Caenorhabditis elegans: one gene and its partner. The protein of the gene in region 1 purifies or fractionates together with the protein of each later gene. This does not show direct contact. Each region holds a gene or a part of one and is shown in the gene's direction. Other genes may lie near its edges.

Region 1 (10,990 bases):
GATCAATGGGCGACACATTTCTGGTATGTGTTCACAATGTTAGTGAAGATCAGCCTTATGCAATCCTACGTGCTGGAATCCACAGCACTGCCGCCGACATTATTCGTCAGGTGGGAAATTAAGTTTATTGATTTGACAAGTTAGCATTAAGCTTTTAACGTTGCTTTTATAATCAAACTACACAAAAACAACAATTTTATTTTGGTTTTCAGGTGTTTGTTAAAGCTCGCCGTTCAAATGTAGACGATTCCGAGTTTGTTCTTGTTGAAGAAACCTGCGATGATCCAAAACTCAATCAAGGCCAAAGTATGCTACAAGCCCTTTCGTTGGCGCGGAAAAGAAGCAATGATCGTAGGCCATTAAGATGTTTTGCACTGTATATTCACCATTTTATGTGTTTTGTGTCACAAATTTGTGTGTTTCTATTTACTAGGCTGTAGTTTTGAATACCTATGTATATCAATAGGTCAGCAAAGTGCTTTTTAAGATTTATGTGTTGCTCGGACACAAAAATATGGAAAAAATTTCCGGACTCACTTTTATACGGTAAAATGTGCAACTTCTTGGTCTATGATGCATCTTCTTTTAGCATGTTATCATTCACAAAACTTTAAATAATATAAAAACATTTCAGTGACTCCAAAGTATCCAAACAACCGCACCACAAGCCGAGTGTTAGGACAAAACGAAAATGTTTGGAAAGCACAATCGAGGTGGAAGTCAATGGGCAGATTTGTACTTGAAAACCGAAAGGACACAGTGCACGCAACCCTCGAAAAAGTGAGATCATTTATATCAAAACTGGAAGCTGCAAAAGCAAGCATGGATCCCAGACACGAGTGATGATGCACATATACTTTCCCTCCGATCAACTCGGTTTCACTCAATTATCACTATCAATACTTCTATTCCTATCACTTTCCTCAAAATTCACTTTAAACACACTTTTCCATTTCTATCCGTCTTATTGAATTATTATGTTCGATCAAGAATTCTGCATGTTTGTTTGCATAATCGTGTGTATTATTGATATACTATGTAAATCCCTATTTTTCATACAAGAAACTATGATACTGAACAAGTTCTCAATGCTAATATTATTTTCATGCCACTAACATGTCTCAATAAACATGAAATGGGTATTTATTTAACTCTACATTATCCGAATCCTCGATTTTTCTACAAAAAAACTCGTAACAAATTGGCAAAATTACATCCAAATGAAAAATGTTCTACAGGAGTTTCACGAAATGGCAAAAATCATTCGTGAGGGTATTCCAAAAAAGGACGAAACTTATTATATGATATACTACTCAGGACTGCCAGGAGAGGATATTTGAAGTTACTGGGATTAATTATGTTTTCACTATATATTTGGTTTTGTAGCTGTGGTTGGCAACTTCTTAAATTTACGGTTTCTTTGTTTGTATGAATAGTCTGTTTTTCTTTCTTTGTTTAAATTGGATTTTTTCCATCCTTGTTCACACAGTATGCAAATGGTGATGTATTCGTTGGTACCACTGAATATGAAATTTAAATTTTTTTTTAGTATAAAGTGTGAAAAATAACACAAAAACCTAGTAGCTCAAATTAAATAGTGAATAAATAAACGTAATATGTGTATATATTTAACAAAATTTAAAAAAAGCTGGAAATTTTTAGTTTTGTAAACTTATGAACAATGTATAAACATATTATTTTGTTATCGTTAAAGTAGATTAAAATTTGTAATTCTAACTGTAATTTTACAATACAAATTTTAATATTTTAAAATAACATGAAAAGTAAATTTGAAGACATTTTTTGCTGTTAATATGTATAATCTTTCTTAATTTCAAAATTTTTGACATATTTCTGCTCAACTCAATTTCAATGATCAATATGAAATGCAAAAATACTTCTTTATAAAATTAATTAGTTGTGTGAACTTAAATCTCGATTATTTGATTTTTCAGCGATTCTCCTATCGTGTTTACTAATATTTATTATTTATTACATTTACAATTGCAACCTATCGATAATAATTATGCATACATCTATCTTTTCAATTGGGGCACCAGCAATGTATAGTATGCGTTTTAGGGTAGACGTGTGGAAAGCACAACTTCTTCCTCCACCACAACGCGCAAAATAAGTTTATCCAGCGTTCGCTCAATCGGTCTTCCACGTAAATTCTCCAAGTTTGGCAAGTCGTTGACTATGGATGCTGGACCAAAGTGACCTGAATTCTACTATCTAACAACTGTTTTTTCATTTATATTTGTGTTACATGATCTTTCTTTTCAATTTTTAATAGAAATCTTATAGTGTTTATTAGTATCTGCCAAAATGTTCTATTTGTGTTTTACTTCATTTTTTATGTGATTTATTGCAAATTGCAATACTTTTTTTTTCATTTACATTTTTGTGTACATTCACATTGAAAGCTAATAAATAAGTCACGATTTTTCAACCATTTCATTTTGCCATGCAGAAAGTTTTTTTTGCTGCGTTTGTTAAAAAAACAGGTGTGCACACAAATGGGTTATTGTCTCTGTGGATGGATAGAATGAAATCTGATTCACTTATTTTATATTGAACTGGATTGAACTGGAGCTCAACTATGATGCAAATTTTTGTATTGTTGCTGGTTGTTTTTGTCAGTGTACAGTAAGTTGAATGATTTGAGAATAATGTAAATTACCGCTATGTAAACTGAGTTTTAACGTAGTTCTAAGTTATGCAATGCGTTTTTATAGCAGACTGTTTTTGGTGTTCAAAAAGTTATTTGACAAGTATTACTGAAAGCTAGTCCATCGAACATTCCAAAGTCAAAATTCAATTTGCCAGTTTAATTTTAAAACAAAAATATTTGACTTCATGTGCTTAAATTGAAGAAATAAAAAAAATTTTAACCAACATATTGTTTACTAGATAGCACATTCATAAAGGAAAACCAGACTGTTTTGTTATAACTGTTTTCTTTGGTGTTAAAATTTTATTGCACATTTTTTTAGAACAAACATATTTTTTTATTACACAGTTTTGAATATATTATATTATAAGTAAGAATTGAAGTTTATTAGAACGTTTTAATTTCAGAAGCCAAATCCACATTGCTGACGATAACTATTTTCTCGAAAGACAACGAGTGAAACGTGATGGTAAATTTATGTCGCATAAACTTTTTATTCCTTTCCTTTTCCCAATTTTCCGTTTTCTCCGTAAAACTATGGTAAATTATGTCTGTGTTCTGGTTGATAAGGAAATCATTAAGCTTTCTTCTCCTTTTGTAACTAAATTTGATCTTTACTCCATCTGATTTCGTTACAGCTGCTAGTACTACGTGCCCAAATGGAATGTCCGTGGCTACTCGTAACGTATTTGACAAGACAGTTGCTAGTGGAAAGGTTTTTTGGAACATAAATCTTCAGTTTTATTTTCATTTATAGACATGGGATTGCACTTTGGAGAGTAAGGCTCAGGCAGTGATCAAAGAGTGTTTGTTGGATAACGGTGGTGTCACTAATGGAACATTGAAACTAAGTTTCCCAGTGACTGGTAGTACAACACCAGAAGCAACTATTCAACAATTTCAAACAGCTCTTCAACTTGCATCCAGCAATTCGAATAGCAAGTCACAAGTACTAACAAAATGTTTATAACCCGTCCAAACTGTTATTTATAGATTACTGAATCGATTGGATGCTCTTATGCGCAGTGTCAAAGTAGACTCGACATTCTTTGTCTCTTCAGGTAAACATATAAAGTCAAAAATGTAGATTTAAATGTGAAACTCAACACTTTGAACACGGGTCTCAGAATTACAAAAACTAATAAAACTAAAAGACTAGTAAACGAAAAACCGTATAACTAGAGAAAGTGCTAGACTGTGATAGATTGTTACAAGTTTCAAAAAATATATGGGTTATGTTAAAAACGTTAGACTGTTTCCAAAAGGCAATATCCAAAGGAATTCCAAAAATCTTACGGTGCGCTCAAAACCCGTAAAAACATTTTTTTTTGTGAAAACTTACTTATATAAAATTTTTTAGGGTTCTCGAGTAGAAAAAATATACACTGAATAAATTTTAGTTTTCGTTTATAAAGGCTTTTATGACGACGAATGGCTAAATTTTTTGGAGAAATACATAGTCTCATAATCTTTTGAATAAAATCGGTGTCGTTTAGCAGTGTAATATTTTTGACCTTATTAGAAATGTATTAAACATGTTATTACAAAAACCTTTAAAAAATTCTGATATACAAAATTTCAATTTTCAGCCACTCGTCCACTGTACCTCCACTTCCATAAATATTGCACCACAAATTTCTTGATTTAACTTTTCGCATGACCTTGATTAAATTAAACTCATATTGGAATCAATTCAAATAAAGAACACTTATCAAATCAAACTTATTTGGGTTCCAGAACACTCTGTCACCTGGAAACCGAAATTGATGATCTGATCGAAATCACGAGTAAAAGCGAAAACAAAACATTTCGATTTCAACTTCCTCTTGACAACCGCATCCCCACAGTCTTTTCTTGACAGCAACCAGACGATTCCTGTCAACGTCGCAACCCCAAATTTGCATGGCATTGACAGATAATAAAATAGTGAGAAGGGGTTTATTGTGGCAGAAGACGTGAATGGGGAAAAAAAGAAACATAACAAACATATAAAGCGCTTCATAAAGGGAGGAAACTACCGTGTGTATTATTATATGCCGACACCAATTTTTAGGTTTCACTTTTGCGGTTTCTCACACTCATGACCTCTGCAACTTCTACTTCAGGTACTGTTTTGAACGAATTAGCATAAAATTCCAGAGAGGAGCGACGCCCTTTCAGAACAAAGGACAAACCTATCAAAACCAATAAATTATTACAGTAACGGTGTACAATTTGATATATAGTATAGTTGTTGTATCAGTGGTAGGCAAGCTTGATTCGTTTGACTTTTGAACTTTCTCCTTATTTTGTTCCAAATTTTCAATTCATTATATCACTGTGTTCAAAACTTTTCGAAACTTTCGCTTTCAGTGTTTTGTGTTTGCCCTTCTATTTCAACTTTTACAGTTTGAAAGTCGCATCAATAATTCGTAGACACTTTCTTTTTCCTCTCTCTTTTTTCTGGAGAGTACGTAATAAACTGGTAACTTTGAGGGGCGGAGCTTAGTCTCGACTTCGGTCTTCATAAATAAATTTCAGCCGCGGCGCCTCCCGCATCGAATTTGTGGATTCAAATACAAGGTACCCGTCATGCTCTTTGCTTGCTGATGACTATTATGAACGTGGTCCTTTCCGCTGTCACTCTTTTTCTTATTTTTCGATATGCGCAGGTATGTTTTCATTGGCTCAATTTTTTAATTGAAATTTTTTAGACTGTGAATATAGAAGGCAGTGGAGGAAATGATGAGCTTCTTGAGCAGAACGTGTGGAACGATGTAGACGACAAGGTTGTAGAAGCACTTGGTGGTCTTGATGATGGTTTGTTGATTTTCAATGCCTTGTTCCTTTTATCTCATTGACCGTGTATGTGTTCGTTTTAGAACTGCTAACCGAACATGTGTGTAACAAATCAACGATCACTCAGCTACAGCAGGAGATCATCTTGACAACCCACAATGAATTACGAAGATCATTGGCTTTCGGAAAGCAAAGAAACAAGAGAGGTCTCATGAACGGTGCGAGAAATATGTATAAACTGGTTAGTTTGTACTTTTGAGATAACATTGAGAATATTAGAACGGGATATTATATTGTTAATTACTTAAGTGTGATTAAATGCTTCAAACAATAGAGTCTTTTTGAAGTTTCAAACTAATTATTGATTCCAATACCAACATTTTCAAAAAAGTTGATCAACTTATTGTTCACAGCCATTGAACATATTAGCAATCTGACATTTGAGATATTCTACTAACCTATCAGATACTTTTCTAAAAACAAACAACCACCTTAATACTAGAAATATCTTTTCAAGTTTAACTTGTCATCAAACATACAATTTTAGGATTGGGATTGTGAACTGGCATCACTTGCAGCCAATTGGTCAACCTCCTGCCCTCAGCACTTTATGCCGCAATCGGTACTTGGCTCCAACGCTCAGCTTTTTAAGCGGTGACTAGTTTTCACATAGTCAAAACATTATTTGTTTGTTTTCAGTTTCTATTTTTATTTTGATGGGCACGACTCTACTGTACATATGCGAAACGCGATGAAGTATTGGTGGCAGCAAGGTGAAGAAAAAGGCAATGAGGATCAGAAAAATAGATTCTATGCCAGACGAAATTATTTTGGATGGGCAAACGTGAGTGTATTTGATATAGACCTATTAATGAAGTTGTGAAAATTTCAGATGGCAAAAGGAAAAACATATCGAGTTGGATGCTCGTATATTATGTGCGGCGACGGTGAATCTGCACTTTTCACTTGTCTTTATAACGAAAAGTGAGTTTATAAGTGATATTTTCTAGCTTCCGGTTTAAAAATAACTTGCGCAATAATACATTAATTTTGAAACACCAGTTTTATTGATTCTAGCAGTGAAAATAGAACATATACATAGTTTTTAGATTAATTTGTCATTTCCAATTCCGCTAGTTTTTACTCTGATTTTAAATATTCTCAACTCATATATTTTCGAGCCCAATGCGAAAAAGAAATGATTTACGAAAATGGAAAACCCTGCTGTGAGGATAAAGACTGTTTCACATATCCAGGATCAAAATGTTTAGTACCTGAAGGATTATGTCAAGCACCTTCTATGGTAAAGGATGATGGAGGAAGTTTCCAATGTGATAACTCCCTTGTGTCAGATGTCACCCGCAATTTCACTTTGGAGCAACACAATTTTTATAGGTATTATACAAAAAAATAGTTTAACTTTTCACGTCAACTGTTTAGATCTCGTCTTGCAAAAGGTTTTGAATGGAATGGAGAAACAAACACTTCCCAGCCAAAGGCTAGTCAAATGATCAAAATGGAGTATGACTGCATGTTGGAACGGTTTGCACAAAACTGGGCAAATAATTGCGTTTTTGCACACTCGGCACATTACGAAAGACCGAATCAGGGTCAGAATCTCTACATGAGTTCTTTCTCAAACCCTGATCCTAGAAGCCTTATACATACGGTAACTGTTCCTTTGATCTTCCATAAATATAATATTATCAATGTTGTCATCATCCATCAAAAAACTGTTTAAGGCCGTCGAGAAGTGGTGGCAGGAATTGGAGGAGTTCGGTACTCCAATTGATAACGTTCTGACACCCGAATTGTGGGATTTGAAAGGGAAAGCGATAGGACATTACACTCAGGTATCAAACCAATGGTCAATTTGATAAGGTAGTAGTAGAGGTTCAGATGGCCTGGGATCGTACTTACCGTCTTGGTTGTGGAATCGCAAACTGTCCGAAGATGTCGTACGTGGTTTGTCACTATGGGCCAGCGTAAGTTTGATTGATAGTTTGAGACGTTTGGGGAAGATTGTTTCAAATTTCAGAGGCAACAGAAAGAACAATAAAATCTATGAAATCGGGGATCCTTGCGAAGTCGATGATGATTGCCCGATTGGAACAGATTGTGAAAAGACAACTTCTTTATGTGTGATCTCAAAATAATTTTATTATTTGTATAAGTGTATAGAAGAAATTAGTGGGTTGAAAGCTTAATAAAGATCTGATAGCGATAATTGATAACAATACAAGTTAGTTCAGAGAAATTGGTAAATGCTAAACAAATGACGATGGTTTATTTTTTGAGACATGGGTCCTCCACGTATTCATGTCGAAGCTCAATAGATCGGCTGAACGATTGACCCTGAAATTAAAGAACTATTGAAAATGAAAGGAAATTGCAAGTATGTACAATAAGAATAAAATTAAAATATTGGGAAAAATATCATGCATAATTTTAAATAGAACTATTAGAAAATAAAAATTTCTTTAAAAGTGCAAAAAGTTTAAAGATGCACTTACGCTATTTGTTTCAAATGTTTTCAATTTTTTTTGTATTTTTAAGCTACTAGTACTTTTTAAATATATAACGGTTTCCTTAAAATGTTTATAAAAGACAACACGCAAAAATTTTCAAAATTTTCAGAACTTGTCGTTTATTTGCCAAGCTTAAGTAACATTTTGGAAGTTATGAAAAAACCCGGACGTAGTGCTATGAAAAATGACAAAGCCCACACCTAAGCGATCACATACCATTGTTTAATTTTTAATCTTTAAAAAAGTATATACAGAATGTAGTCACAGATAAAATATATGCATTACCTGTGTTAAAACTGGATAGTGCACACATGGATCCTTCTTTTCAACCTTTTCAGAAGATGAGACAGTTCGAGTTTTCTCGCCCTCCTCTCTTCTTTTAATTTCCTCCTCTCGTCGTTTCAGGGCTTCTTGACGTTCCTGTTCTCTTCTGTGATATTCCTCCATTCTTCTTTTGTGTTCGTCTTCTTGCTCTCTTCTTCTTTGCTCTTGAAGTTTTGCTTCTTCTTCCCGCTTTCGTTCTTCCTCGGCTCTTCGTTCAGACTCCAATCGACGTTCTGAATTGTGAGTCACTTGAATCAAACATTTTGAGTCTATTTTTAGATGCCTACCTTCTTCTCTACGTTCTAACTCAATTCTTTGTTGCTCTTCTTCTTGACGTCTGATTTCTTCTATGCGTTTCTTTTCTTCTTCAATGCGACGGATTTCTTCCAATCTAAGACTTTCTTCCTCTAGCCTTCTGATTTCATCCAACCTTTTTTGTTCTTCTGAAATTGAGAATAACTGACAAAAAGTCTCTTTATTTTACCTTCAAGTCTAAATCGCTCCTCTTCGATTCTTCTTTCTTCATCTGAAACTTCGTGATGTTCTTGGTGATCAACATGATGCTCTTCATTATCTTTGGTAATGTGTTCAGAACTTGATGCCATCTGCTCATCTCCTTCTGTTGGCTCAACTACAGGCTCTTCTACTTCCACTGGTTCTTCGTCTGTTGGCAATACAGTTTCGTGAACTTTCGTTTCAAAAACAGTCTGAATTTGCTATTTCAATTTCAGTAATTTTGGTCAAGCTAACTTTCTCGTAAAAAGCTTTATACTGCACATAAATTGGAATGCACTGACGGATTCGCTCTTCCATGTTTGTCTCAATGTAGATTCGTTTTTCGTATTTTTGAACAGGAGCGTCTGAAAACAAACAAATACGTTTTTGCAGTTTTCAAATCTTGAATACCTGCTGTAAGAAGTTCGATATCCCCCAAATGATACACATGCTTGGCTTTTGCTCCTTCAGTAATGTACTCTGCTGGGATCATTTTTGAGAAAACTCTCTGAAATCATTCATTAAATGTACATCATTCAATAACTAAACTACCTTTTCATTCAGTCCTTCGTAACCACAGTTGTGTTCAATAAAGACATATGGCTCGATCGCAGTGAACTGAAAATATCACAATTCCATTATTAGGAAAAATAAAATAAAAACCTCTTCGGTTGATCCCTTGACACAAAAAACTCCTCTATGATCTGCAACTACAGACCCAAGAAGATCATCACTGTCGAATACTGGAAAAGTTTTCAAACTTTAAATTAAATTTAAATTAACGAATAAACGTACTTGAGTCTTCATCGTAAAGTTGCACAAATGTACCAGGTTGTCTATGCCCGCGACAATTAACAATTCCTTTTACAGTAACTGCTTGTTGAGAAGAGAATACAATTGGAATAAAAATAGAAAACCACACAAAGCTGAAAATCTTCGCCATCGTGGGAAGTGTTGAAAGCACGAATGGCACTGTTTCAGAATCTTTGCAGGAGTGAGCGTGAGGGAGAAGGGAGGAGCAAGACGATGACTAATTGAAATTTTGCTTCCTATACAGTTGTTTTGTTTCGCCAACCAAATCACGACATTTTCGATATAAGGCTCGACGAAAAGTGTACAGTTTTTGTTTTCTTTCGCATCTTTTTAAAAATGTCTAAGGGAATAACGATGTTGAATCATACGTATTCGTATAGATATACGTAGTTGTGATGAAATAAGAAACAAGCTGAGAAAATATTTCGAGGTTCTGAGGCAAAACAAGGGAAAAGGTATTGAGCTTTCATTGGAAACAAAACTAAGATACAGTAAAATTGCAACTTTCATTGGAAAAAAATTTAATTATTGTTATTGAAAACCAAGGTAGCTTCAGGCATTCAAAAAATGTTTGAGCTTTATTCAGGATTTCAAAAAAGAACCTATATACAGCTAGAACGAGGACCTTTGAAATCTGTCGCTGCTGGAACAGTAGCAAAGGAAAGTCGCTTTAAAATGGATGACATTTGATCTATTGATTTGTTGATGTTATGTGACGAGTGCAAGAGAGTGACTTCTAGCATTTGAGCCTGCAGGATGACGTAGAAAAACACAACCGTCTCTCCGCCCTGTCCTTACAATTACACGTGGAGTAAGTATGTGTTATTTCGATTTCGTCTTCAAAAAATGTGGGACTTGAAACGCAGACATCTCATCTGATTTCGAATGGTTAAGAGCGTGCTGACAACACAATTTTTCTGCAAATACTTCCCGCATTTTTTGTAGATCAAACTGTGAGACAGCCTGACACCACGTGCAATTGAGAGAGCTTAACAGAGCGATATCGTCTCACAACAACTCTCTCTCTCTCCGTCATTAATCAAAGTTTGTAAACAAAAATTCTCAAGTACATATTAAAAACATGACAGTGTCGAAAAGCCCACTGTGCTCGAATTTAAAACTTCAAACTGTCATTCGGAATTCGGACACATCCCCGATCATTCCAATCCGTCCATCCATTCATCCATTCCGATAATTCTTCGTCATCATCGGCGTCTTCACAGAACTTTCGGTTTTTTTTCTTTTTGGAATTCTGAAGGTTTTGGAAAATTTGGGAATATTGGAATTTTGAAAATTTTCCGGAAATTTGAAATTCCTTTTTTTGAAAACATAAATTCAATCATTTTGAGTGAGGTCAGATGGGTTGATTGAAAATTAT
Region 2 (10,990 bases), on another chromosome or scaffold:
ATGAAAATTTATAGTTACCTAGAAGAAACCCTAGTTTTTCATAACCTCCTAGACCGTCTAAAAATATTAATGGCCTAGTTTTCTATGATCTAGGCCACGTAGAAGATATTGATGGCCTAGTTTTCCAAAAAAACCTGTGTCACTTTGAAATTGATAATGATCTAGTTTTTGCAAACCTAGGCCGTTTTCAATGAAGTGCTGAATTTTTAGATGTCTTTATTGGGAAAACCCGAAAAACACAAAAACACGAAAAAGAGGAAGAAAACAGAGAAGGAGGAGGGAAAATTGATGGGGAAGAAACGAAAAACGCAAAAAAAAAAAGAAAAATGAGAGGAAGTAAAAAGGAAATGGGACGTCTTGTGTGTGTGTGAATATGAAAATGTTTTTTTTTTCAACTTTTTCATTCAAAACACCTAAGGGAAGGTAATTAAGTGGACGGGGGCGTGACCGACCAATCAGGTATTCTGGCTGAAAATTTGGAGATTTTAAGTTCTAAATGAATATTTTTTAAAAATTTTACAGAAAAGATTTTGATGGGAAATTAACTTTTTTGCAGAATATGTTTTAGCCAGAAATTCAAATTTTTAGCAGAATTTTTGGCGGGAAAGTCAACCTTTTCCAGAAAAAATTCAGCGGGAAATTAAATTTTTTGCAGAATTTTTTAAAGCCAGAAATTCAAGTTTTTAGCAGAATTATTGGTGGGAAATTCAAATTTTCTTAGATAAAACATTGGCGGAAAATTTTCTCAAAAAAAAATCACGGGGGCTGCCTTCCTCATTGAATTTTTCGCGCTCCATTGACAATCGCCTGCCGGACAACGCGTGGGAAACTCGTGTACTCCACACGGACAAATACATTTAGTTTTACAACTGAAATCGAGCCGCGACGCGACACGCGACACGCGCCGTAAATCTACCCCAAATATGGCCGAGCCAAAATGGCCTAGTTCGGCAAAAACTCTTCCATTTCAATTTATGGGGGAAGCCAGAAATCCGTGAAAAACGTATTTGACAGAAACTCTATTTTTTCAGAAATCATTTTTTGGCGGAAATTTCAAATTTTCAAAGAAAAAATTTCAGCGGGAAATTCAAATGTTCTTTTTAAAAGTTTGGCCTAAAAATTCTTCAAATTTCAAAAGCGTTTTTCATAACCCCCAAAATCAGAAAAAAAAAGAAAAATCTACCGTAACCTATCATGTGCTCTTTTGTTCCTCAAAAGCTCAAAAAACGCAAGAGTACTTCAAATTGTTCCAATTCAATGGACTACGGTAGAGCACACTTGCATTTTTCTCTTCATTTTTGGCTCCCCTCGCTGAAGCATTTCGGGCAAAAATTGAATACTCTGGGAGAGGCGAAGGGAAAGATTTTTTGCTTTTTTGGCGGCGGCCGCCTAGCGCCAACTACATTCCCACCCATCAAAAACAAAAAAAAACACTTTTTTCTATTTTTTTGACGTCCTCCCAGCTGATTGATGCATTTTTGCGGCAAAATTTCTGGGTTTTTGAATCCATGGAATTCATAAATATATAAGGGTTAGGCTCCGCCCACTTACGAGAAAATGTTCATTTTATTTCAAAAAAATTAACCGTGCCCCTCACGTGGAGTCAGAGTGTCCCATTTTGGTTTGATCTACGTAGATCTACAAAAAATGCGGGAGAAAAGACGCAGAGTTCTCAACTGATTTCGCATGGTTAAGAACGTGCTGACGTCATATATTTTTTGGGCAAAAAAACCCCGCATTTTCTGTAGATCAAACTGTAATGGGACAGCCTGGAACCACGTGGTGCCCCTCAAAGATGCATGGCGGAAAATTCAAATTTTCACAGAAAAAGTGTTCAGTTGGAAATTCTACCGTACTCCTCTTCCAATTTTGAGGTGCATAGAAGAAGTTGGGCACGGGTTTCTGGCTCGACCCCTCGGTGTATTTTGTGCAAACACCGTCACGCGCAAATGCATACACTTTTTCAACGCGCTGCGTGAAAATTCCTCTTGCGATTTCAAAAAAATTTTTCCCGCCATTTCAGTGTCCAATGGAGCGCGGGGTCGAGCCAGAACCTCGTGGTTGGGTTAGAAAGTACTTGAAATAATTTTTTTTGAGAAAAATTTAAAAAAAAAGAAAAATAAGTTGTCGGAATTTGCTCAAAAAAAGGAGAAAAAGGAATGGCGGAGCCGCCGCCGTCGCCACAAAAAAAGAGCAAATGCACATAGAGCAAAAACACGAAAAGAATGGAAAAAATGGGCGGAGCCTCGCAGCGGGGGGCTCACATGAGAGAGAAAAAGCTCGCGCCTCAAGGGACGCCAAATCGATGAGCGGGGGGCTCTCACGTCTTCTACTTTTTTTTTTGCTCGCTGCTGAGCACAGAGAAAAAGAGCACCTCCTTTTTGTGCATGTGTGCTTCGCGCTCCGTGAGCTCTGAATGAGTTATTCTTGCACGGGCAAATGCTCTTCAGGGGTGGGTAGGAAGAAGAGATGGGTAAAATGAAACAAGAAGAGCAAAGAATTGTTTTCGAAATTTTTTTCTGGATAACTAATAGTTGTATTTCTCGCGACTAATGCATTACAAAACTAGAAAATACAATAAAAACTCGGGCCGCCAAACACCGATTTCTGGCTTCACTCATAAATTGAAATAGAAGAGTTTTCGCCGAACTAGGCCATTTTGGCTCGGCCATATCTGGGGTAGATTTACGGCGTGTGTCGCGTGTCGCGTCGCGGCTCGAGTTTAGTTGTAAAACTAAACGTATTTGTCCGTGTGGAGTACACGACTTTCCCACGCGTTGCCCAGCAGGCGATTGTCAATGGAGCGCGGAAAATTCAACGAGGAAGGCCAGAACCCCGTGGCCAAAAAAAAAACTTTTATTTCTGGGAAAATTTGAACTTTTGTTTGATCAATTTTGATGACCTTGTTGTCAGAATTTCAGAAACTTTCTAAAAACATACCGTATTTCTTCTATTAATATGGCTGCAATACTATTTTTCGATGGTCTTCCCGCTTGCAATACTAATAGGGAGTGCAAGACTATTAGGGAGTGCAATACTAATTTTTAGAACATTTTCTGACTTTGAGCTTACTAGTTTTTTTTTTCTGAAAAAGCTCGAATCTTTATGTAAAAATTCAGAAAATTTGATTCTAATTGTAACATATAAGTTCAAAAACTTCAATCTCGTAGAAATATTGTGAAAAACTGTAGCAAAATAGGCAATTTTTTTTGTTGAAATCCTGAAATTAACGAGACGGGCCTGCAATAAAAAAGAGTAAACGCAAGACTATTAGGGAGTGCAATACTAATTTTCAGAAGATCTCCGAGGGACAATACTAATAGGGAGTGCAAGTCTAATAGGGAGGCCATATTAATAGAAGATATACGGTAATCATGGGGCTCTGGCCTTTCTCGTTACATTTTCGCGCTCCATCGACAATCGCCCGCCGGACAACGCGTGGGAAAGCCGTGTACTCCGCACGGACAACTACATTCAGTTTTACAACTTAAATCGAGCCGCGACGCGACACGCAACGCGCCGTAAATCTACTGAGCCAAAATGGCCTAGTTCTGCAAAAACTCTTCCATTTCAATTTATGAGAGAAGCCAGAAATCCGAATCGCGACTAATGTATTACAAAACTAGAAAATACAAAATAAACTCGGGCCGCCAAACATAATTTTCAAAAGAAAGAAATTTTCAATTTCCCGGCAAAACGTTATTTCTGAGAAAATTTGAACTTATGTTTGATCAATGTTTCCTTGTTTCAAAATTTCAGAAACTTTATTTTTTTTAAAAAGTTATATGTTATTGTTTTTTAGGCGCAGAATTCCCTGACTGAATTTACATGGTGAAAGCGTGATGACGTCACAGTTTTCTGTATTAAAAATTCCCGCATTTTTTGAAGATCAAACACTAATGGGGCATCCTGACACCACATGTTAAAATACCCAGAATAGTCTCACAAGTTGATCACAATGTACTAGCAGTTTGATCAGCTACATCTCGACTGTGAAAGAAAATAGGAAAATAGTTTTTGCTGGTAACGTGTTCCTCATTTTTAGCTTTACAAGTTTTCTGTTGATCGTTTTTTTTTCATATTCCATTTATCCTGCCATTTGCTATAAAATAATGAACGAGGACAAAGATTTTTTTACATATTTCAAGAGTCTATACATTTTCAACGGGAAAAATTTTTGATTCCTATTCCTCAGAAAGTTTTTACCAGGATTTTATTAGCTCAAATAAATTTGAATTGAATTTTATTTTAGTAACTGAAAAAGTAAAGTTAACCAGCACAGCAATAATACACCAAAAGTAATTTCATAGAAAATTAATAATTTTAATTATTTGTAATTGGAACTGAAACGGAATTTGAGAAGTGGAACAATGTTCGAGGATCCGTCGGAAATCTATCATGCCATACGAGAAAATACATGGCAAAGTTTTCAATGAGAATAGTTGCTAATAGACCATCACTTCTTTCGATATCACGTCCATATGAGCAATCCACGAATTCAAGATCATCGCTGAAATAAATTTAATAAAAGCTAAATTCATTTCGACTCATTGCCACTTATATAGGTAGCTCACATCGCTAATAATCTCAGGATTCTAACAGGATCTAACAAAAAGTTAATATTTGGAAAAGGGTGTAATAAAACTCACCAGAATATTCTTGCTCGACGTTTCGGATTCCATTTGGAATATGGTAAGCCATACAATAAGTCGCCCGCCCAATGATGCCACCAATAGTTCAATTGAAGTCTTCTCAGGTTTGGTAGGTTCCCGTCTAACCAATAACGAATGTACTTATTGATTTCTCTTGCCTTGATTGTATTGAGATCATAAAATCTCATCTTCTCGCAATTCATCATTTTCAAATCGTCCAGTGTTAATCCTGGGCTTTTTTCGAAATCCAAACGTGGAATATTGACCAACTTAAATTTTAGTATTCTAGTTCTTAACAATTATCTTTTCAACTTACCAGTTTTATATCAATCTTGGTTCTGCGTAGAGAGCGAGTCAGGAATCCATATTTCAAATTAAAATTCTTCAATATAAATTTCATATCCTCTGTGGTAATGTACGATCCTTCTCCTAGAAACTTGAGGAAATGGCATTTCCGGAACAAAGGGTGGCTCAAAGCGGACTGATATGATAATCTGAAAATGTCTCCAATTATCTGAAATTTTATGAAAATATGCTGAAACATCTGAACTTTTGTCTTAAATTGTCTTAAATTGTACAATCATTTCACAAATTCCAAGCTGGAAAATCTAATTTTCTTGTTTTTTTTTTCGCACAGAAAATCCAATTTTATTTTATTTTGCACTAAACAACACGCACTACGACACTCCGTTATCCCGCTTGAAAATTATTTAATTTATTTTATTTTATTTTATTTTATTCGAAAAAAACTCAATTTCCACTCATTTTCCGAGATTTTTTCCGTGTTTTAATGCTAAAAATGCACTTTTTGACATTAAAACCGTCTAACACAGCTTTATTGTGCCCTAAAAGTCGGGAAAATCCATAAAATCAAGTTTTTTTCAGAAATGGGTTTGTTAGATGACATTTCGAAGCTAACAACGCCCGCAACAGAGCTGCCAGACTTGGAGGATGATAATTTTGAAGGTTATCTAGTTTTTCAGGCGAAAAATTAACAAAAAAAATGTTTCAGACTCGCAGTCCGCGCTAAAATCCCTAAAATCCACCGGAAACCGCCAAAAAGCCGCTCAAAATTTCAATTTCGAGGAGGGAAAGTACGCGGGAAGTGCTGTTTCAAGAAAAGAGCTTTTCGGTGATATTTCTGAAATTTCCGGCTTACAAGGGAACTTTGACAAGTCGGAGAGCGAGGAAGACGAGGACGAGGAGGAAAAAATCGATAATTTCGATGAATCTGAGCCAGAAATTGAAGATGAGGAGGAAAATGAGGATTTAGAAGACGAGGAAGATGAAAATCCTGAAGAAATTGATACAAATATGGGAATGACTACTCTTTCGCTGAAAGATGAGGAGGATAAAGCCGATAAAGGTTAATAAAGCCTCTGAAATGGGAAAAATTTGCGAAAAAAGCATTTTTTGGCGAATTTCCCGGTTTTTTCTGTATTTTTAACATTAAAATTGCGAAAATTGACCGATTTTCCGAGGAAAATTGATTTTTTTTTTCAGAAAAAATAGGCTTAAAATCTCAGATTTCACCCGCAAAATCACAAAAAACTCAAATTTCCACACAAAAAGTCGTGAAATTCCAGATTTACTCAAAAAATCGCCAAAACTTTGAGTTTTAATTCAAAAAAACCTAGAAAGGAGCAAATTCCGTTAAAAAAAATCGGGAAAATTGCCAATTTTCCACAGAAAAATCAAACTAATCTCCTAATTTTTGAAAAATCCCAAAAAACTTTAAATTTTCTTCAAGAAATCGCTGAAAAAGTCATATTTTTCTCTGAAGCATTGCGAAAATCTTGAAATTAATAAAAAAAATAATTGAAAATTCCCAAAAATCTTCAAATTTTCCATTAAAAACCAACCAAAAAAAATCTAATTTTCCCGAAAATCACCAGATGTTCATTTAAAAACATTGCAATTTAAAAAAAATCGCCAAAAAAATAATTTTTTACGGAAAAATTCCACAAATCGTCCAATTTTCCATAAAATAACCACACAAAAAAAAAATCTAAAGTCCCAAAATTTCAGATTTCAGTCGAAAAATCTGAAAAATTCAGCATTTTCAAATGCGAAACCCAGGAAAATTTCAAAAATCTTGATATTTTATATTTTATATTAAAAAGCGGTTTTTTTTTCCGAAAAAGTCGGTTTTAAATATAAAATATTAAGATTTTTGAAGTTTTCCTATGTTTCGCATTTGAAAATGCTGAATTTTTCAGATTTTTCGACTTAAATCTGAAATTTTGGGACTTTAGATTTTTTTTTGTGTGGTTATTTTATGGAAAATTGGACGATTTGTGGAATTTTTCCGTTAAAATTATTTTTTTGGCGATTCTTCTAAAATTGCAATGTTTTTAAATGAACATCTGGTGATTTTCGGGAAAATTAGATTTTTTTTTGGTGGTTTTTAATGGAAAATTTGAACATTTTTGGGAATTTCCGATTATTTTTTATTAATTTCAAGATTTTCGCAATGTTTCAGAAAAAATGTGACTTTTTAGCGATTTCTTGAAGAAAATTTCCAGTTTTTTGAGAAATTTTTCGGGATTTTTCAAAAAAAATTGTTTGTACAATTTTAGGACTTTTCGTGTGAAAATTTGAGTTTTTTGTAATTTTTCGGGTAATATTTGAGATTTTAAGACGTTTTAGTGAAGATAATTTCAGATTTTTCTGAAAAAATCCGATATTTTGATTGAAAATTGGGAAAAAGTATAGTTTTTAAAATTAAAATTGCGAAAATTGACCGATTTTCCGAGGAAAAATGACTTTTTTCAGTCAAAATATCGGATTTTTTCAGAAAAATCTGCAATTATCTTCACAAAAACGTCTTTAAATCTCAGATATCACCCGCAAAATCACGAAAAGCTTCAAGTTTTGCTCTAAAAAATCACAAAAAACTCAAATTTCCACACAAAAAGTCGTAAAATTCCAGATTTACTCAGAAAATCTCCAAATTTTTGAGTTTTTATTTTAAAAAAACCATATTTTATGAAATTTTTATATTTTATTTGGAAAAAAAACGAAAAAATCTAAAAGTTTGGAGCAAAAATTCCGTTAAAAAATCGGAAAATTGGCAATTCTTTAAAAAAAAATCACATTAAATCATTTAAAAAGTTACAAAATTTTTTATTTTTATTTTTTTAATGCACAAAAAATTGAAAAAAAAAACCTTCAAGAATCTTAGAAATGTGGAAAAATTGAAAAAAAAATCCCAGAAAACTTGAAATTTTCTTACGGAAATTGAGAAAATTTTAAAATAAAAAAAAATTATCGGAAATTCTCAATTATCTTCAAATTTTCCATTACAAATCAAACATGCTAAAATAAATCGCCGAAAAAAAAATTAATTTCAACGGAAAAATTCCATAAATCTTCAAATTTTCTATTAAAAATCAAAAAAAAAAAAAAAAGAAAACCCATGCTAAAAAATTTTAAAAATCTTAATATTTTATACTTAAAAACTGCTTTTTTTTTCGGAAAACTGCAGCTTTTCCCTAAAAATTCCCAAAAAAAATTCCATTTTTTCAGCCGCCAGTGTCCGAAATCAGCGTCTCGTATGGGATGATCTACTCTATTCGAATATCCGGCTCCACGCGTTGCTCAACACAGCCAATCAGCTGCCACGTGGAGAAGCTCGAAAAAATCTGCTCAAAACCAGCGAAGAGCACACACAAAAATCGATGGAATCGGCCATGGAAAATATGGGAAAATTACGGAATTTAATGAAAAACGCGATGGAATTGATTGGTGAAGGGAAGGGAAAAGCCGCCGGAGAAGATGAAGAAGATGATGATGATGTAGAGGAAATTCCAAGTGATGAGGAGATTCTCAGTGATTTTGAAGACGATGAAGAAGAGCCGGCGGAAGAGCTCGAAATTCCGGGAAAATCACGGAAAATTGGTGGAGGATCTACCAGTGTGAAAAGCCTCGCAAAAAATCTGCAAAAAATCGATGAAAAAATGGAGAAATTCCGAGCAACAACACTCACGAAATGGTACAATCGAACTAAGATTCTCAACACGCCGAAATCTATGAATAATACGGATTTTTCGGTTTTTGAAAAGGGCAGCATTCTTGGACAGATTAATAAGGTAGAAAATTGTGGCGGAAAAGCGTTGGATTTCTGCTTAAAAATCGGTTTTTTTAACCATAATATCTAGTTTTTTGGCTGAAAAATCGAAATTTTTGCATTTGGGACAACAAAAAAAAACGGCTGGATTCCGAAAATCGAATTTCGAATATTTTTTTTGGCAGATTTTCCCCCAAAAAATCTAATTTTTTGGCTAATTTTTCAATTTTGGCTGATTTTTGGCTGAAAAAATCGATTTTTTTTCTCGCAAATTTCACGGAAAAATCGCACAAAAAACCTTTTGCTGGTTTTTCCTCAAAAATTCGAATTTCCAAGCAAATTCTATTGTAAACCCCGGTTTTTTCTTAATTTTTCATTGAAAATCGTAAATTAAAAATTTTTTAAATTGAAATTCCAAAATTTCCCGCAAAAATCGCACAATTCTGAAAATTCTGAAAATTTATTTGAAAAATTCGTGTATTTTTTGCCAATTTTCTACGAAAAAACAACCATAAAATTTCCGGTTTTTCACAACAAAAACCCTACTTTTTTCCAGAAATTAAAAAATTTTCAAACATTTCCATATCGTGCGCCTTTAAAATAACGGAAATCGCGGCGAGACCCATTCCATGCACCTTTAAAGTAGCACCACCCAGCGTTGGATTTCTGCTTTAAAATCGGTTTTTTACCATAATATCTAGTTTTTTGGCTGAAAAATCGATTTTTTCGCAAATTTCACGAAAAAAATCGCACAAAAATGTTTTTTTTGCTCATTTTTTCCTCAAAAATCCGAATTTCCAGGCAATTTCCATTAAAAACCCCGTTTTTTGCCGCAAAATTCTTAATTTTTCACTAAAAATCGTAAGCTTAAAATTTTTTAAATTGAAATTCCAAAATTTCCCGCAAAAATCGCTCCGGCAATTTGCTGATTTGCCGGAAATTTTCAATTCCGGCATTTTGCCGATTTGCCGGAAATTTTTAATTCCGCCAATTTGCCGATTTGCCGGAAATTTTCAATTCCGGCATTTTGCCGATTTGCCGGAAATTTTTAATTCCGCCAATTTGCCGATGTGCCGAAAATTTTCAATTCCGGCAAATTGCCGATTTGCCGAAAATTTTCAATTCCGCCAATTTGCCGATTTGCCGCTTTGCCTTTCTGAAAAAAACGTGTTTTAGTTGTGAAAAATTGGAAATTTTATAAATTTTTCCGTGGAAATCTCTGAAAATCATTGCGAGACCCATTACATGCGCCTTTAAAGTAGCGAAAATCGCGGCGAGACCAATAATTTACGAATTTAAACCTAAAATCGCGGTGAGACCCATTTTTTCATCTTAAAAAAATTGAAATTTTGCAGGTTCTCGCCGACGAGGAGAAGCTGCTCAAAAAAGTGCGCACAAATCGAAGCGGAAAACCGCGAATCGGCGGCAAATCCGACTCTCCGGAATCCCTGGACCCCGAGACGTTCGACGATTCGGATTTCTATCAAATTCTGCTCAAACAAATGCTCGAAGCACGAAACCAGATGAGCAACAACTCTCAAGACGGAGCAGACATGACGAGAAGCTATATGGAGTTACAGACAATGTTCAGTAACAAGAAAAAACGAGATGTCTCGCAACTTTCGTCAAAAGATCGCCGCTTGAAGTACGAGCCAATCGCCCGGCTCATCAATTTCTATCCATCGAAGCCGTCGGTCGTCACTTGGAGCCATGAGAGCCGGAATGAGCTCTTTAAGTCGTTGTTTTCCTGATTTTTTTGGAGCATTTTTTTTTTAATTTTTAAATTTTTGGTTTTTTTTTGTTACTTGTTATAAGATTTTTTTGATTTGTTTAATAGAATATCACAGATTTGGAGCAAAATTTCGAAAATTTTGGTTTTTTTAATATTGAAAATATCGAATTTTTAGTTTTTTTTTTGAAAAATTGAAAAATTTTAATTTTTTGAAAATCGAAAAATTAAAATTCTTGATTTTTTGATATTTTCAAAAAAAAAACGATGAAAAATCGGAAATTTTCAATTTTTTAACAAAAAAGAAATTTGACAACTTTTTGAAAATTGGAAAATTTCAATTTTCCGATTTTCAAAAAGTGCTCAATTTTTTTCGATTAAAAAAATTGAAAATTTCCGAAATTTTTTTTTTGAAATCTACAAAAAATTATAATTTTTTGAAAATCGGAAAATAAAATTTCTCGACAATTTTTACTTTTTCGCTTTAGAAAAAAAAAAAGAAATTTCAATAGTTTTTAAAATTTTTTTGAAAACACGAAA

What was found. Proteins that work in one complex are often made in the same cells at the same time.
Region 2: the proteins of vap-2 (region 1) and aatf-1 fractionate together in Caenorhabditis elegans (co-fractionation; one large-scale study listed by BioGRID). This does not show direct contact.

Annotation. Positions count from the first base shown.
Region 1 is NC_003284.9:10,786,300-10,797,289, reverse strand, and holds vap-2 (SCP domain-containing protein), read left to right. Parts: upstream 1-4,754; coding exon 4,755-4,779; intron 4,780-5,194; coding exon 5,195-5,325; intron 5,326-5,367; coding exon 5,368-5,473; intron 5,474-5,535; coding exon 5,536-5,693; intron 5,694-5,999; coding exon 6,000-6,106; intron 6,107-6,151; coding exon 6,152-6,296; intron 6,297-6,344; coding exon 6,345-6,436; intron 6,437-6,631; coding exon 6,632-6,847; intron 6,848-6,892; coding exon 6,893-7,121; intron 7,122-7,194; coding exon 7,195-7,305; intron 7,306-7,351; coding exon 7,352-7,437; intron 7,438-7,490; coding exon 7,491-7,608; downstream 7,609-10,990. Other genes in the region: plc-1 (Phosphoinositide phospholipase C), read left to right, coding at 1-110, 213-306, 635-843; T05A10.6 (DUF19 domain-containing protein), read left to right, coding at 2,603-2,649, 3,082-3,143, 3,313-3,389, 3,432-3,623, 3,668-3,735, 4,264-4,294; ttr-14 (Transthyretin-like family protein), read right to left, coding at 7,739-7,807, 8,266-8,537, 8,592-8,747, 8,789-9,011, 9,055-9,164, 9,211-9,307, 9,352-9,417, 9,463-9,542 and 1 more.
Region 2 is NC_003279.8:1,596,301-1,607,290, forward strand, and holds aatf-1 (Protein BFR2), read left to right. Parts: upstream 1-5,537; 5' UTR 5,538-5,539; coding exon 5,540-5,618; intron 5,619-5,664; coding exon 5,665-6,018; intron 6,019-8,180; coding exon 8,181-8,743; intron 8,744-10,076; coding exon 10,077-10,472; 3' UTR 10,473-10,546; downstream 10,547-10,990.